Linked DNA regions of Saccharomyces cerevisiae S288C. Each later gene encodes a partner of the first gene's protein in a complex. Each region holds a gene or a part of one and is shown on either strand. Other genes may lie near its edges. A codon is read from its position in the direction of its gene.

Region 1 (11,653 bases):
AATAACGCTTTTAAAGGAACTGATTCAACATTATTCTCCTTCTGATTATGAGAATTTTATCAATGTTCTGACTAAACATTCTGTTCATCCCCTAATTATCAGTTATTCCCAATTATAAATAATGAATATGTACAGATATATACTTTGCATATAATCTGATTCATCTCTAACCTACTTGTGGATTTAGTGACGAGATTCATTGTGGAACCTATTACAAAGCATGTCGATTTCTATTCTAAATACAATGATGGAACTTGATTTAATTTCTTTACCGTTGTCATTTTCTTTTGAATTTTTTCCACCTCTTTTTTTGTTGAAAAATGTTCATGGATGGAAAATTAAAGGTGTGCCCTATTACAAAAGCAAGTTGTACCCCTTTACTAACTCTCTAGTCAATTTGAACTATTGTGAAAACGACAGTTGTGCTCACATGATATAACAAAAGTAATACTGACAAATGGCATTCCAAGATCAAGATATATTCATAGTGTTCTCGCATGCCTCCTTATTTCTTAATCAAAATGATTTATTAAGCCTAAGTCTAACATCCAAAAAAATGCATGACATGATTGCAATCCCTCGTCTTTATAGCAATATTCACATAACTAAGAATCCTGTTTTAAGAACAAACAAATGGTTTTTGGACGGGGGAAAAACTTATGTAAGTGGTTATAGATCTGTTCTGAAAACCGGTGACAAGAATGACATATTTTTATATGATAGAATTGAAAGGTTGTTGGAGACATCGCATTTAAAATGTATAAAACAGCTGACTATTGACGAGGATTTGTTTCACAACAGGGAAGAAGGATTGCAACTGTTACAAAGATTGGTCAATGAAATCACTGACTTGGACGTGATTGAAAGTCTTGACATCAAGGATCCTACCTTGTTTGAGTTATGTTCAGCAAAGTATTATCGCCTGTCAAGTTTAAAGAAGAGAGTAGTATATGGCGAAACTGGATTTGATGGTATCAAATTATGGCAAAACTTCAAAAGCTTAAAATGGCAATTACCTGAATCGTTGGATTTGCAAAACGTAATAATCCCTGAAGTGGGTGTAATGTTAATGAAGCAACTTAATGGAGGAGAGTTAGAAATAAAGGACGAAGCGTACTCAAGCCTAAGGGTCTTTGAATACTTTGATTCCCTGAACCTCCGCTTCAAGAATCTGCGCCGTTTGAAGCTTAATCATGTTCACAAACAAGGTGATGGGAGTGCTACTTCTATGAGATTATCTTCACGCGCGTTTAAGGATGTAGTTAATTTATCCAATCTTAAAGCCCTTGAATTAGAATTTTCTTGTGAGGTGGACGACTGTGAATGTGATGATGACTTTCTTCAAGATATAACAGGAAACCTTGTTTCCTTAACAAGTCTGGGGTTCATTGAAAAGACATTCACCAAAAAAGGGTACCATTACATGGACGAGAAATGGGACTTGGTCGTTAATAAGTTTATTTTAAATTTACCAAACGTGAGTAAAGATTTGCGTTTGTTAAGCATACGACATGACCCACCTTTAAATGGCAAGGGCATTGATACTGTTGATGGGAACTTGCTTCGCCGTAAAAAACTTTATGAAAAGGTTTTACCAAAGCTAACTTCGTTGGAAACAATAATAGCTCCAACTGTATTGCAGTCCATCACCTCATATGAAATGTATGCGTGTGACCTTTTGTGGAACGGCTGCAAATGTGCGTTCTGCTCCAAATACTTACCATTATTTGATAAGTACATCATGAATCATCAATACTTTTCGACCCCGGATGCAAGATACTTGGATATTATACCGATAGTGTTTGCAGCATATACTGGAAAATCTCTAGCTAAGAGGTTTGATCCTCAGAAGAACTGGGATTTGGATTTACTACAGTATGCCCCTGAGGATACGACGTGGAATTTCCATGGCTTTGAGAGAATTCATCACTTTGCAAGTTATGAATGTTATTTTGACGAATCCTCATTTGAGCCCTTAGCCACTATTATATCGCATTTTTTTTATCCTTACATGAACTACTTGATAAAGATATTGCCAAACCTTCGCCAAACTATGTTGTCAGGAATATACTTTAGCGTGAGCCCAGAATTACACACTTATGAAACTATTTATGATTAAACTTGATAGTTGTGATAAACATTTCTTATGTACATTTGTTGAAGGAGTTCGTATATATACAGCCAGTTGAGTAATAATTATATTTTACTATTGCATTTCATAATTATTACCCGGACCTTACGAGTTCTTCGAATAATAACCATATATTTCAGAAAGGTAGGCATACCGAAGGAAGAGACAATGAAAAAACTGAAATGAACAAGCTTCTGTATACGATCCAAGGATCAGAAACGGTTGTTATTTATTGTTTGGACTTCTTGTTGTTAGGCTTTATTTACCGTGCATAATACTATCTGATACTTTGAGAAACCCCTCCCCCCACAGAAAGGTTCAAAATTTACAATTGCTGCACTAGGTCTACACTTTCCTCTAGATTTGTAACTTGAAGACCCCATTCCAATCGTTTAACCTGTCTTTCCTTTTATTATCGTTTTATTCTCTTCCTTTTTTATAAAATTCTATCTGGTATAGAGCATTTTTATGTTGATCATAACTTTTCATGTATTCTATTAATTACACCACAACTTTGATATCGTCAAATTTTTTATCACTACCTATTAAATTTAAACAATTGCTTACGAGAACTTAATGTTACAACGGAGATTTATATCCTCCAGTGGTATAAAGAGATTACTTCACAGAGAATCAAACAAGGTTATGCACACTGTTTTCTTTAAAGTACGATATTACTCAACTGAGTTGATCAAAAAAAAGCATAAGGAAGATATTGAGGATTGGGTTAAAGCGCAACTAAAAGATTCTTCAACAATAAGCGGTGTGTATGAGTCTCGGAATAAACTCGATTGGATGGACTCCATTACCAAAAGCCCCAGCAGCTTAGATATTCTTAAGAATCAATATAATATAGTGAAAGACAAAGATTTTGGAATATTGTGGAAGCAAAAATTCGAAAGTGCAGATCCAGATATTTTGATGACAATAATTAGCCTTTCCACTAACCAAAAGGTTTTGTTTTCAATACAGCAATTACTGATCTTAATAAATTCTCTTCACTTTTTGAAAAGGGACTACGATATTGGACAAATATACACAACATATGAGCAATTCACGCCCTTATTAGCAAGCCACACTGATAAAGGCACATATGGTCAGTTCATCGAAATTATGTTGGTAGTACAGCATAATTTACATCATTTTGATGTCTGTGAAACTTTATTTGCAGAATATATCAAATATTGCAAAGTAAAGCCACAAATGATATCTTTAGGATTAAACTCTTTCATAAGGAGTAATAACACTCAACTAGCGGTGGAATTTTACACGCAAGCAATTACCAATCCTGATACATTTCCAATAACTGAAAAGCAGCTTTTTGAGTTTCTCCGATGTATGGAAAGATATCTAGATATGTCCAGTATGAAACACATCTTTTATCTCTGGTTGAAAGTGAAATGTGGTGATGAGCAATCCTCTTCAACTAACCTTCCCTCGTTCAAAACCCTCGCGATAATACACAGAATGTTATTACGTTTTTCTAATACAGATGAGCTAAACGATTTTTTAACCAATCCCGTTGTTTTAAGTACGGGATATACATCAAGTGTGCAGTTTGAGTTGATTGAATTTTGTCATTCTCTGTATTGCATCAAAGGAGACAGAACAAAAAGCATTGATGACTCAATATTGATGGAAAGAGTTGATAAATTTATTACCAGACTTAATAATAATATTTCAACACGAAAAGAGCTATATATGTCAGTGGTTCAAGCGTACGTCTCTACTAACAATTTCGAGAATTTAAAAGTAATCTTGGAAAAAATCCAGAGAGATAATGATATTAGCATAGACGGTTCGTTTCATTTGTGCATTTCTAGGTATTTTGTCAACACCAATCAATTCGAAGGACTTTTCAAATATTATCGCAGTGTAGTTAAAACCACTGATGGTAAAACGCGATTACGGCCCGCATTTATTCAACAATTATGGTCATGTGCCGTAAATGTTTATCCAATGCTGGCAAAAGAAATTACAAATGACCTACTTGTGACTCTAAAAAGGAGCCAATACAGCAAATGTCTCACTTGGGTGTACACATTTTTACAAGAAAATGCCCATATCCATACGAGAAAGATCAATGGAGGAGAAGACTCTTCGTTATCTGGTTTCAACGCGGTTGATTTTGAAAGGTTTGAAGAGTTCAAGAAAAAAGTTTCTCACAATGATGTATATGGAGCAGAATTGGTGATTTCGAATAGTTTGAAGGAGGGCATTGCGCCTCAATTTTCATTTTTGTATTCCGTTTTGGCATTATGCTTGAGAAACTCTTTAACTGGTTTGGCACGTGTAGTTGATGTGATATTAAGGACCAGATTCCGCTATATCCCACTAAAAGTCGATATATTATGGTTGAAATGGGAGATCATTTCTAATTATAGATCTTTTGAAAAGTTGTCTGCTGAACATTTAAAAGAACTGGAATTCAAACTGAAGGAATTTGAACGAGTACATCAAAAGGAGCTTTCAGTTCAAAACTATTTACAACTTACTCAAATATGTTTCCACACCCGTGATTTCAAATATGCATGTTACCTAATTTCACAAGCTAGAAAAAATTTGGATACTTCAAATAACAAACAGTGGATGATGTATTACATGACATCTTTAAAGTTGGCGTCAAGAATGCATGAAAGCGAACGGTTTAGTAGGATTTTAAAAGACTGGAATTGTAATCATAGGGCAAGCCTGATTACTCCAGGTTGCATTAGACAAATCAAAGGCTTTATGAAATATTTTGAGAAAAGGCCTGCTTACATTTCAACTGCTGCTTCCATTGATAACAAGGAGATAAAGGATCGCATTGACGAGTTAGTACTTAGATATGTGGACTATAAATACCAGGGGCTTGAGAATATGAGAAAGTTAACACTTTTCTTAAAAGAATGGTTTGATGAAGAGATTTCACTATTAAAGTTGGAGCAAAATGAAAGGAAAATGAAGCTTTTTGAAGAGAATAAAAAGGAGGAGGAGTAATCTTTTCAGTTATTTACCTTCCTTTCTCTCACGTGTAAATATTTGTGTGTCATACACACCGCTAAAAACCTTTGCATCAACTTATACCCTACATTTCTATAGACGCTATTTGGAAACAAGATGTAACCCTTTTTTTCTTTTAGTTTTGAGATTTGTACTCGTAAAGAGTACGTTTATTTATTTATTCAAATTTTATTCTTCATACCATGTAAATATAAGCGCATATAATCACTACGATCTTAGTACAGCTAGAATTGCTGACGCTTACAATTGCTTTATTGTTTGATTATATGCACGTATACATATAGTGTCAGCAAAAAAAAAAAAAGGCAGTACTTGATTGGCTACGCCGCGCATCGTCCGAGAAATCCGGCCTGGTAGGGGCAGGTTTGAAAAGGCGGATAGAAATAAAAGATGATATTATTTATTCATCCCATGAATAGTAGAACTCGATATAAGATTCTAAACCAACAAGTACAGAAAGCAAAACAATAATAAATAATGGCTAATAAAGTTATTCAACTACAGAAAATCTTCCAATCTTCCACTAAACCTCTATGGTGGAGACATCCAAGGTCAGCTTTATACCTGTATCCATTTTATGCTATTTTTGCGGTAGCCGTCGTTACACCACTTCTATACATTCCAAATGCTATTAGAGGTATCAAAGCCAAGAAGGCATAGTTAGGTAAAAATAACATCCGTTCATAGCATCTTTATAATTGTTCTTTGATATTAAGTGTGTATGCTCAATACACATCACCCAAAACATTTTTATTCGAAATAAGATGAAAGCCATTTATTTATATATACATATATAATATTCTAAAGAATAAGGAAACAACTAATCGAACTAGCATAGCCTTTTCCATCTTTGTTTTCTTGCGCAGTAATAAATCGTTTCAGTTAGGCCTGGCAATAAAGATTTGCTAATCATTGAAAAAGGTGTGATTGATTTTCTCACTTGAAGTATGTCTAGTATTTATTAAACAATTATAATGGTGTAAACTAATGTCTCTTCAAGCAAAACGTGCTTAAAAGTGTCCATGTGATGGGAGGGATCATATTTTCAAAGAGGTCTTCAAACGTTGAAGGATAAGCTCCTCTTCATCATCGTCAACCCAGTTGGAGCTCCCTTCATCGTTCAGAAAATCCATCAACACTTGTTGCTGTTGATTCTTGTGATGAGTCTTTTGCAATATTTCCCTCTGCTCTTCAATTTTCTTTTTTAATAACTTCATCTTAGAAGCGGTATCCTGTTTGGATTGTGTTTTGGTAGTTTTCATCTTGCTAGGTGAAACTGGTGGAGGAGATATCTCTGTTGCTTTTTGGGAGAAAGGATTTATCGCCAATGATTCACTTACAGGCGATATTTTGCCCTGACTATGAGGCGGCTTCTTTTCTCTGGGAAGAGTTTCCTTTATTTTATTTTTCGTTTTACTTTCGTGGTTACCTTTGTTATTCTTCACTTTGTTTACAGAATCTTTTTTCTTATTGTTTGAACTTGATTCATTACTCCACCTGCTATTATTATTCTTTTTATTGTTATTACTCCGCTTGTGACTTGGTTTCTGCTTCTTTATTGGTTCTTCGTCAGGGGCATCGGCCCATATAGATTCTAAAGGCATGATAAATAGTAAAAATGATATTGAAGGTATTCTCCTATCAAAAATAGCTTCTCACCCCGCTGTTAGAGACTAGCTCAATGGTGCCACTGATATTGCTTATCTTACTTTTTTCTAAATTTTCAACATTTCTGCGCCCTGTAAATCACGTGCTCGTTACAAAATACACTGCCATAGTAAATACAAAATGGCAAACAACGCCCAGCATCATTGATGTTACATATACTATGCACGTTTTTTATATGACGATAATACTTATTTTGGTCAGGAAGCAAATGCAGTCCATACATGCGTTTCTGGGTAGTTTATGCTTACCCTCCCACGTGCTAGATTTTTCGATTGTAAGAGATATTTTATCATGGTATTTCCTTGAGACAGTCGCAGTATGACACGATATGTACAAAAGCATAAGTGACGGGATGATTACAGAAAGCTTGTTCTATTACTTCATTAACTCGCGCAAGCCAGCAAGTCTGCCGACACATCGATATATTGACATATATTTACTTGACGTAGAGACCCCAGATACCGTCATGAGGCATTTTCCTAACTAGGAAATGCACCTTAATTTGGTAAAAAGATACCGGCTAACGGTAAGGGATAGGGCTCCTAAGGGCCCTTCCAAAGATCGCAGAATGGTGCGAATGGTAGTTGGATATTTTGGACAAAGATGTGGAATTGGAAAGCGAGATGTTCTTTGATCTACTTTAGAATTTTTCTTATTTCAGTAAAATTCCTTTTTTTTCCTTCTTAAGTTTTCGTAGGCATGAATTTGTTGTTGCTGTGGTGAAGAAAATAGATAGAGATAAGAAAATGAATCCATCAGTACCGAAGGTTATGAAAAGAGAAAACAATACACACCTACTAGTTTCTAAAGAAATGAATGATACGAGTTTGCAACTACCGTCTACTACGAGATCACTTTCACCGAAAGAGTCAAACAGCAATGAAGACTTTAACGTCGATGGCAACGAAACAACGCTGCAAAGAATAAGTAAAGATTATTTGAAACCAAATATTGGGCTTGTTCTCTTGACAGTATCATATTTCTTCAACTCGGCCATGGTGGTGTCTACTAAAGTCTTAGAAAACGACCCCGATGATATTGCCAATGATAGACAGATCAAGCCATTGCAAATCTTATTAGTTAGAATGGTAATAACATATATTGGTACATTGATATACATGTATATTAATAAGAGCACAATTTCGGATGTACCATTTGGTAAACCTGAAGTACGCAAATGGTTAGTATTGAGAGGTTGCACTGGATTTTTCGGTGTCTTTGGAATGTATTATTCGTTAATGTACTTGACGATTAGTGATGCCGTTTTGATCACTTTTTTGGCACCATCACTAACAATATTCCTGTCGTGGGTTATCCTGAGGGAAAGATTCACCAAAGTGGAAGCGCTCGGTTCGCTGATCTCATTGCTGGGCGTGGTGTTAATTGTAAGGCCTTCATTTTTATTTGGAACTCCCGAATTGACCGACTCTTCCTCTCAAATAGTAGAATCATCGGACCCAAAATCGAGATTGATTGCCACTTTGGTTGGGTTGTGGGGTGTTTTAGGGATGAGTTGCGTCTACATCATTATTCGTTATATTGGTAAGAGGGCTCACGCTATAATGAGTGTGAGTTATTTTTCTTTGATCACAGCGATAGTGTCTTTCATTGGGATTAACACTATCCCTTCAATGAAATTCCAGATACCACATTCCAAAAAACAATGGATACTGTTTGGTAATCTGGGTGTGTCCGGCTTTATCTTCCAGCTGCTATTAACTATGGGTATCCAAAGAGAACGTGCTGGAAGAGGGTCTTTGATGACATACACACAACTACTATATGCGGTTTTCTGGGACGTTGCACTGTACAAGCATTGGCCAAATATCTGGTCGTGGATTGGTATGATAATCATCATAAGTGCCACGTTGTGGGTAATAAGGATAAGGGCGGCAAACAATGAAACAACTGCCAAGGACCTAACCCCAATAATTGACGACGAAGAGAACTCTATTCCCCTGACAGAGTTTGACCTATCCGATTCTAAATAAGACGAGTATAAAATTCCTCAGTTTCTACTATGATTTTTTTCCTTCTTTTCTTTTTTTTTTGTGTCATGTTGAAATGCGCAGTCCGAGGAAGCAAGGACACGAAACAAGAGAACAATAGGGAAAGTGGGGTACACGAGCATTCAGAAAACAAAACAAAAGGATCATCGCGTCGTTCAGCAAGTACCATATAAGCAGCAAAACGAAGAAGATCGAGTGTGAAGTGTTAATGTTTGGTAAAGTTTTCGTAAGCTACATCAGAACAAGAATTGGGTTCAAACCTTTAAGCACGATATACACGCCTGTTTCTTCTTCTTCGCTCAGCTTCGATAAGGAGGCATGTTTCCCCTTTAAAAAATGGCACGAACTGAATATGTCCCAGAAGCAAGAGTTTATTCAGCGTTTTGTCAAAAACTACAGGCACCAATACCCAAGTTCTAAGACCAATGTTTCGCTGAAGGGGCTGAGTATTGGCATGGACGAGCACAATGACTCGCCATCTGTGTTCGGCATATTTTATAACGATATCTGGAAATCGTTTAAGAACGAGCAATTAGGAACTAACAATGATAATATGAAATCGGGTAGTAGGTTCAGTCACCCCAGCTTTAAACAATTGTTAATACAGAAGTGATTGCTTCCGTTTCCCAATTTTTCGCTTCCCTCCGCCGCGCACACCGTTTCTTCCGATCATTTTAGATATTCATTCAATAGTTGCTTATTTTTGGGTTCTTTAGAGGAAAAAATTTTCGATTAAAATTACTTAATATTATATTGTTATATATATAAACTTGAAAGAAATTACTTTTTTTTTTGTATTCGTTTTTTTTTTTTCATTATTCACCGGAAAAGGTGAAAACTTATTACTATATTGCACACCGAGAGAAAATCATCGGAAAAATGTGGCCAATGGATTAACAATGACACATATCGCCAATAAAGGTGACTTTGGATTGTTCTTTCTACACCCGATTAACCACTCTTTCTCTTTCAATGTATTCCAAACAAAGTCTAAATTTAAATCAAAAAGGCCAAAGCACCAGCTAGAGCAACACCAGCGGCGCCTGCAACCTTACCGTTGTTTAAACCGGCAATTGGTTGGGCAGCATTCTTTGAGCTTGAGCTGTTAGAACTGTTAGCAGCACTTACTAAACCAGTGAAGGCGACGGCGGAAACAACAACTTGAGATAACTTCATTTTTTATTATTAGTCTTTTTTTTTTTTGACAATATCTGTATGATTTGATAGTCCTCTGCAATAAAAGTTAAGACGTCCCAGAAACTGTCACATAGTGAGCAACAATTTCTCCCTTTTATATGATTGAAAAACAACTCCCAGCTAGCCATAGTTTTTTTCCGCTTGCTAATTCTCTCATCGAAAGTTACATCCCTTATCACTATGTTCTCCGGCGCAGCCTGCAGCAACCACTGGCCGAAAACAGAAAGGGGCTTACCCAAATAGGAAGAAGTAGAGCTCCGCCGATAAACTGCGCCTCCCTATTGGGAAACGGGCGCCGCGGCGGCGCTAGCAAAAATGCGCTTATTATTCTATTATCGAGACTGTAGCCCCTGTTCTAGAATTGTCACGAAGGAACCGTTTCCGAGCCACGGTGCCGTTACCACTGTGAGATACACACAAGTCACAGCCATGGAGATGTCCAGCACCATTTAGTCATAGTGCGGTTGCTTCAACGGGATAGGAATAAAAGGAAGATATGAAAGGAAGAAATCGTGCGGGGAGAGGAGGGGTCCCGGGTCCGGACCGCGAAGGGAAAAGAAAGTGAATGACTTCTTAGCCCCCATCCCCCTTACAAGCGTGCTCCTTTTCCTTCCAAGTAGGTATCGCTTTGCTCTTTATGGTTTTTCCGTAGTGTATTTTTATGACGCAGTCTATGTGATGTGTGTGCGTGCTAATCGAAAGAAAAAAAAAAATTTCATGGAGGTCGGATATCAGGCTTGGGCCCCAGTGGGGTGATCCCAATCGGGTTGACCCGTGGCTGCGAGCGAGTATATCCGAGTTTTATGTGGGTAAAGTCCGTTGTGCGCTGGAAGGCTTCGTGGCGCCAGTATATATTCTTGAGCCACGTGTGTATACGGGAATAATCATCTCTGATGGTGGCCAGATTGCATTTGAAGTGTTGATGGTATACCACGTCGAACCTTACTATCGTTGGGTAGAGTCTCACGTCCGCCTCGGTCAGAGTGTCTCCGATGGCAAAGTAGCGATCTAGTATCTTGTCCTTGTTGTTCTTACCATACTCCGCCTCCAAATCTGTGTACTTCTTGTCCAGAAGATTTTCCAATTTGTCAAGATATTGAAAAAGGCTTGTTACCTCCCTCTCGTATACCTCTGCACATTCTGCAAAACCGGCCTTGTATACACCGTTGTTGATTTTATCGTACACCCAAGAGTTGAACTCTGTAATCTGTGCCTCTAGAGACCGAGGTACCAGACGGACTTGACGGTATTCTTCGCCGACAAACTCATCAAACGCAGCGGAATTCATAATTCCGATGATATCACTGCTTTCATTGTTTACTATAGTGCATGTTTCCAAGTCCCAAAGAACAGGTACGGTGAATCTTCCCTTATAGTCTGGCTTTGTTTTGAAATAGAAGTCGCTTAGTCTCTTGTACCCGTAATGCGGTTCATCTGTTCCGTCGACCAACAACCGATGCGCGTTATTGGGTATGTTAGCCACAGGAGTACTGGTATTTAAATTTACTGAGCTAATTCCGCCTGCAATGTCAAACCAGTGCCTTTCATTGGTTTTCCCATCTCCTTCTTCAAGGAATCGCCAGCCTTTGTCATCCAGGTGCCAATGCGCTACACTGCACCCGATTATAGGCGCTAGCCCTTTCAG
Region 2 (3,163 bases), on another chromosome or scaffold:
TATTATGTATTATTATATAAATATATATATATATTATATTATAAGTAATAATAAGTATTATATTATATATAGCTTTTATAGCTTAGTGGTAAAGCGATAAATTGAAGATTTATTTACATGTAGTTCGATTCTCATTAAGGGCAATAATAATAATATATTAATTAATAATTAATTTATAATAAATATATTATAATAATTAATATATATATATATAATATATTTAATACAAAGAAAATATATATTATATCTCTTATTTATTTATTTATTAATATTTTAATAAATATAATATTATAAAAAAAAGTTTATATATTTAGTTCCGGGGCCCGGCCACGGGAGCCGGAACCCCGGTAGGAGAAATATAAATATAAATATAAATATAATATAAGTTTGGTATTCATTTAATTATATTATTTAATTAAAAATATTCTAAATAAGAATAAATATCAATAAAGGAGTTATAAATATATATATATATTAATATATATATAAAAATATATATTATTATTAGTTCCCGCTTTGCGGGAACCCCGTAAGGAGTGAGGGACCCCATGGGAACCGAACCCCTATTTAAGAAGGAGTTTTATTATAATAAAATTTATATATATTTAATATATAATTATAAAAATATTATATAATAAATAATAAATAATTATTAATAATAAATAAATATAATAATAATATTATAATAAATTTATAAATGATTATAATAAATTTATATTAATTTTTTATTTTGTAAATACTAAGATTTGAACTTAGATAATATGCACCTAAAAACATACATTTTACCATTAAATTATATTTACCTTATTAATTATATAAAATTTATTAAATATATAATATATTAATTATATAAAAATTATTAAATAAATATATAATATATTATATATAATTTATAATATATATATTATAAATATTATTATATATAAAATATAATATACTACTTATAAAAATATATATATATATATAAATATATATATAAATAAATATTTTATATATTAAATTAAATAATTATTAATAAATTTAATTATAAAGTATAATTTTCAATAGGAATATTTATAAGATTATAATAATTATATGAATTATTATAATTATATATATATAAATAAATAAAATAATAATTATAATAATTAATAAGAGTTTTGGATATATATCTGTGGAGTATATATTTTATAAAGGAGATTAGCTTAATTGGTATAGCATTCGTTTTACACACGAAAGATTATAGGTTCGAACCCTATATTTCCTAAATCTAGATATAATATTATATCTATCTTAATATAATAATATTTATTTATTAAATAAAAAAAAAATAAATAATATTAATTAATATAAGATTCTTTTTTAATTATAATAATAAATAAATAAAAAGAAGATATTATCAATGATTTATATTAATAATAAATATAAATAATAAAAAATATATATAATATAATATAATAAATATATTTCCTTTAATATTAATAAATTAATAATAATAATAATAATAATAATAAAATATTTAAATAAATTATATTCAATACAAATTAATTATTTATATTATTAATAATTGAATAAATAATCCGGTCGAAAGAGATATTAATTCGATTATATTATTTATTTAATTATATTTAATTTAAATATATAAATTAATATATATATATTGAATTATATATAAATTTATTTTATAATTTTATAAATAATATATTATTATAAATATTTAATATAATTTATATTATTATTAAATAAAAGATTTATTAAATTAATATTATTATTTAATTTTATTATATAGTTTAAGGGATAATATTTTATTAATATTTTTTTTATTTATTTATTTAATTATATTATATATATAATATATATATAACAATAAATTTATGACACATTTAGAAAGAAGTAGACATCAACAACATCCATTTCATATGGTTATGCCTTCACCATGACCTATTGTAGTATCATTTGCATTATTATCATTAGCATTATCACTAGCATTAACAATGCATGGTTATATTGGTAATATGAATATGGTATATTTAGCATTATTTGTATTATTAACAAGTTCTATTTTATGATTTAGAGATATTGTAGCTGAAGCTACATATTTAGGTGATCATACTATAGCAGTAAGAAAAGGTATTAATTTAGGTTTCTTAATGTTTGTATTATCTGAAGTATTAATCTTTGCTGGTTTATTCTGAGCTTATTTCCATTCAGCTATGAGTCCTGATGTACTATTAGGTGCATGTTGACCACCCGTAGGTATTGAAGCTGTACAACCTACCGAATTACCTTTATTAAATACTATTATCTTATTATCTTCTGGTGCTACTGTAACTTATAGTCATCATGCCTTAATCGCAGGTAATAGAAATAAAGCCTTATCAGGTTTATTAATTACATTCTGATTAATTGTTATTTTTGTTACTTGTCAATATATTGAATATACTAATGCTGCATTCACTATCTCTGATGGTGTTTATGGTTCAGTATTCTATGCTGGTACAGGATTACATTTCTTACATATGGTAATGTTAGCAGCTATGTTAGGTGTTAATTATTGAAGAATGAGAAATTATCATTTAACAGCTGGACATCATGTTGGATATGAAACAACTATTATTTATCTACATGTTTTAGATGTTATCTGATTATTTTTATACGTAGTCTTCTACTGATGAGGAGTCTAAGGCTATAGAATTATATATCTAAATGATTAATATATATATTATTAATAATTAACAATAATTAATATATTATAATTTATATATATATATTTTATATTATTATAATAATATTCTTACAAATATAATTATTATATATTATTCCTTCAAAACTCCTAACGGGGTTCCCGCGAAGCGGGAACTAATAATAATATAATCATTATACTCTTTTTTCATTTACCTTTTATAAAGATAATTAATAAATTTATTTAATATTTATAAAAAAAAAAATATAATATTAATATAATATAATATAATAATGTAATTATTTATATTTTTATATTCCTTCGAGGTCACCGCCTCACCTCCAGCGGGACTTTTTTAATATGATATAATATAATATAAATATTATTAATTTAACTAATATATAAATTCATATATATATATATATTATTAATATTATTTTATAAAAAATATTTTTTATTTGATTATTATTAAATATTATATAGTTCCGGGGCCCGGCCACG

Evidence for each region.
Region 2: the proteins of COX7 (region 1) and COX3 are in contact, whole or in part, in a cryo-EM structure (PDB 8DH6), measured with the Saccharomyces cerevisiae proteins. Residues at the interface, in NP_013983.1 of Saccharomyces cerevisiae: Ala2 (codon at 5,615), Asn3 (codon at 5,618), Val5 (codon at 5,624), Leu8 (codon at 5,633), Gln9 (codon at 5,636), Phe12 (codon at 5,645), Gln13 (codon at 5,648), Leu19 (codon at 5,666), Trp20 (codon at 5,669), Arg22 (codon at 5,675), His23 (codon at 5,678), Arg25 (codon at 5,684), Ser26 (codon at 5,687), Tyr29 (codon at 5,696), Leu30 (codon at 5,699), Phe33 (codon at 5,708), Ile36 (codon at 5,717), Phe37 (codon at 5,720), Val39 (codon at 5,726), Ala40 (codon at 5,729), Val41 (codon at 5,732), Thr43 (codon at 5,738), Pro44 (codon at 5,741), Leu45 (codon at 5,744), Tyr47 (codon at 5,750), Ile48 (codon at 5,753), Ala51 (codon at 5,762), Gly54 (codon at 5,771), Ile55 (codon at 5,774), Lys56 (codon at 5,777); in NP_009328.1 of Saccharomyces cerevisiae: Met18 (codon at 1,905), Pro19 (codon at 1,908), Ser20 (codon at 1,911), Pro21 (codon at 1,914), Trp22, Val25 (codon at 1,926), Phe28 (codon at 1,935), Ala29 (codon at 1,938), Ser32 (codon at 1,947), Leu35 (codon at 1,956), Ser36 (codon at 1,959), Leu39 (codon at 1,968), His42 (codon at 1,977), Gly43 (codon at 1,980), Tyr44 (codon at 1,983), Ile45 (codon at 1,986), Gly46 (codon at 1,989), Met50 (codon at 2,001), Leu53 (codon at 2,010), Phe56 (codon at 2,019), Val57 (codon at 2,022), Thr60 (codon at 2,031), Ser61 (codon at 2,034), Leu64 (codon at 2,043), Arg67 (codon at 2,052), Asp68 (codon at 2,055), Ala71 (codon at 2,064), Glu72 (codon at 2,067), Thr74 (codon at 2,073), Tyr75 (codon at 2,076).

Annotation. Positions count from the first base shown.
Region 1 is NC_001145.3:773,086-784,738, reverse strand, and holds COX7 (cytochrome c oxidase subunit VII), read left to right. Parts: upstream 1-5,611; coding exon 5,612-5,794; downstream 5,795-11,653. Other genes in the region: tRNA methylation protein TRM732, read left to right, coding at 1-118; ROY1 (Roy1p), read left to right, coding at 458-2,119; PET111 (Pet111p), read left to right, coding at 2,708-5,110; GFD1 (Gfd1p), read right to left, coding at 6,172-6,738; YMR254C (uncharacterized protein), read left to right, coding at 6,816-7,124; YMR253C (uncharacterized protein), read left to right, coding at 7,549-8,793; MLO1 (Mlo1p), read left to right, coding at 9,020-9,424; HOR7 (Hor7p), read right to left, coding at 9,808-9,987; GTO3 (omega-class glutathione transferase), read right to left, coding at 10,724-11,653. UniProt on the Saccharomyces cerevisiae protein: Component of the cytochrome c oxidase, the last enzyme in the mitochondrial electron transport chain which drives oxidative phosphorylation.
Region 2 is NC_001224.1:77,360-80,522, forward strand, and holds COX3 (cytochrome c oxidase subunit 3), read left to right. Parts: upstream 1-1,853; coding exon 1,854-2,663; downstream 2,664-3,163. UniProt on the Saccharomyces cerevisiae protein: Component of the cytochrome c oxidase, the last enzyme in the mitochondrial electron transport chain which drives oxidative phosphorylation.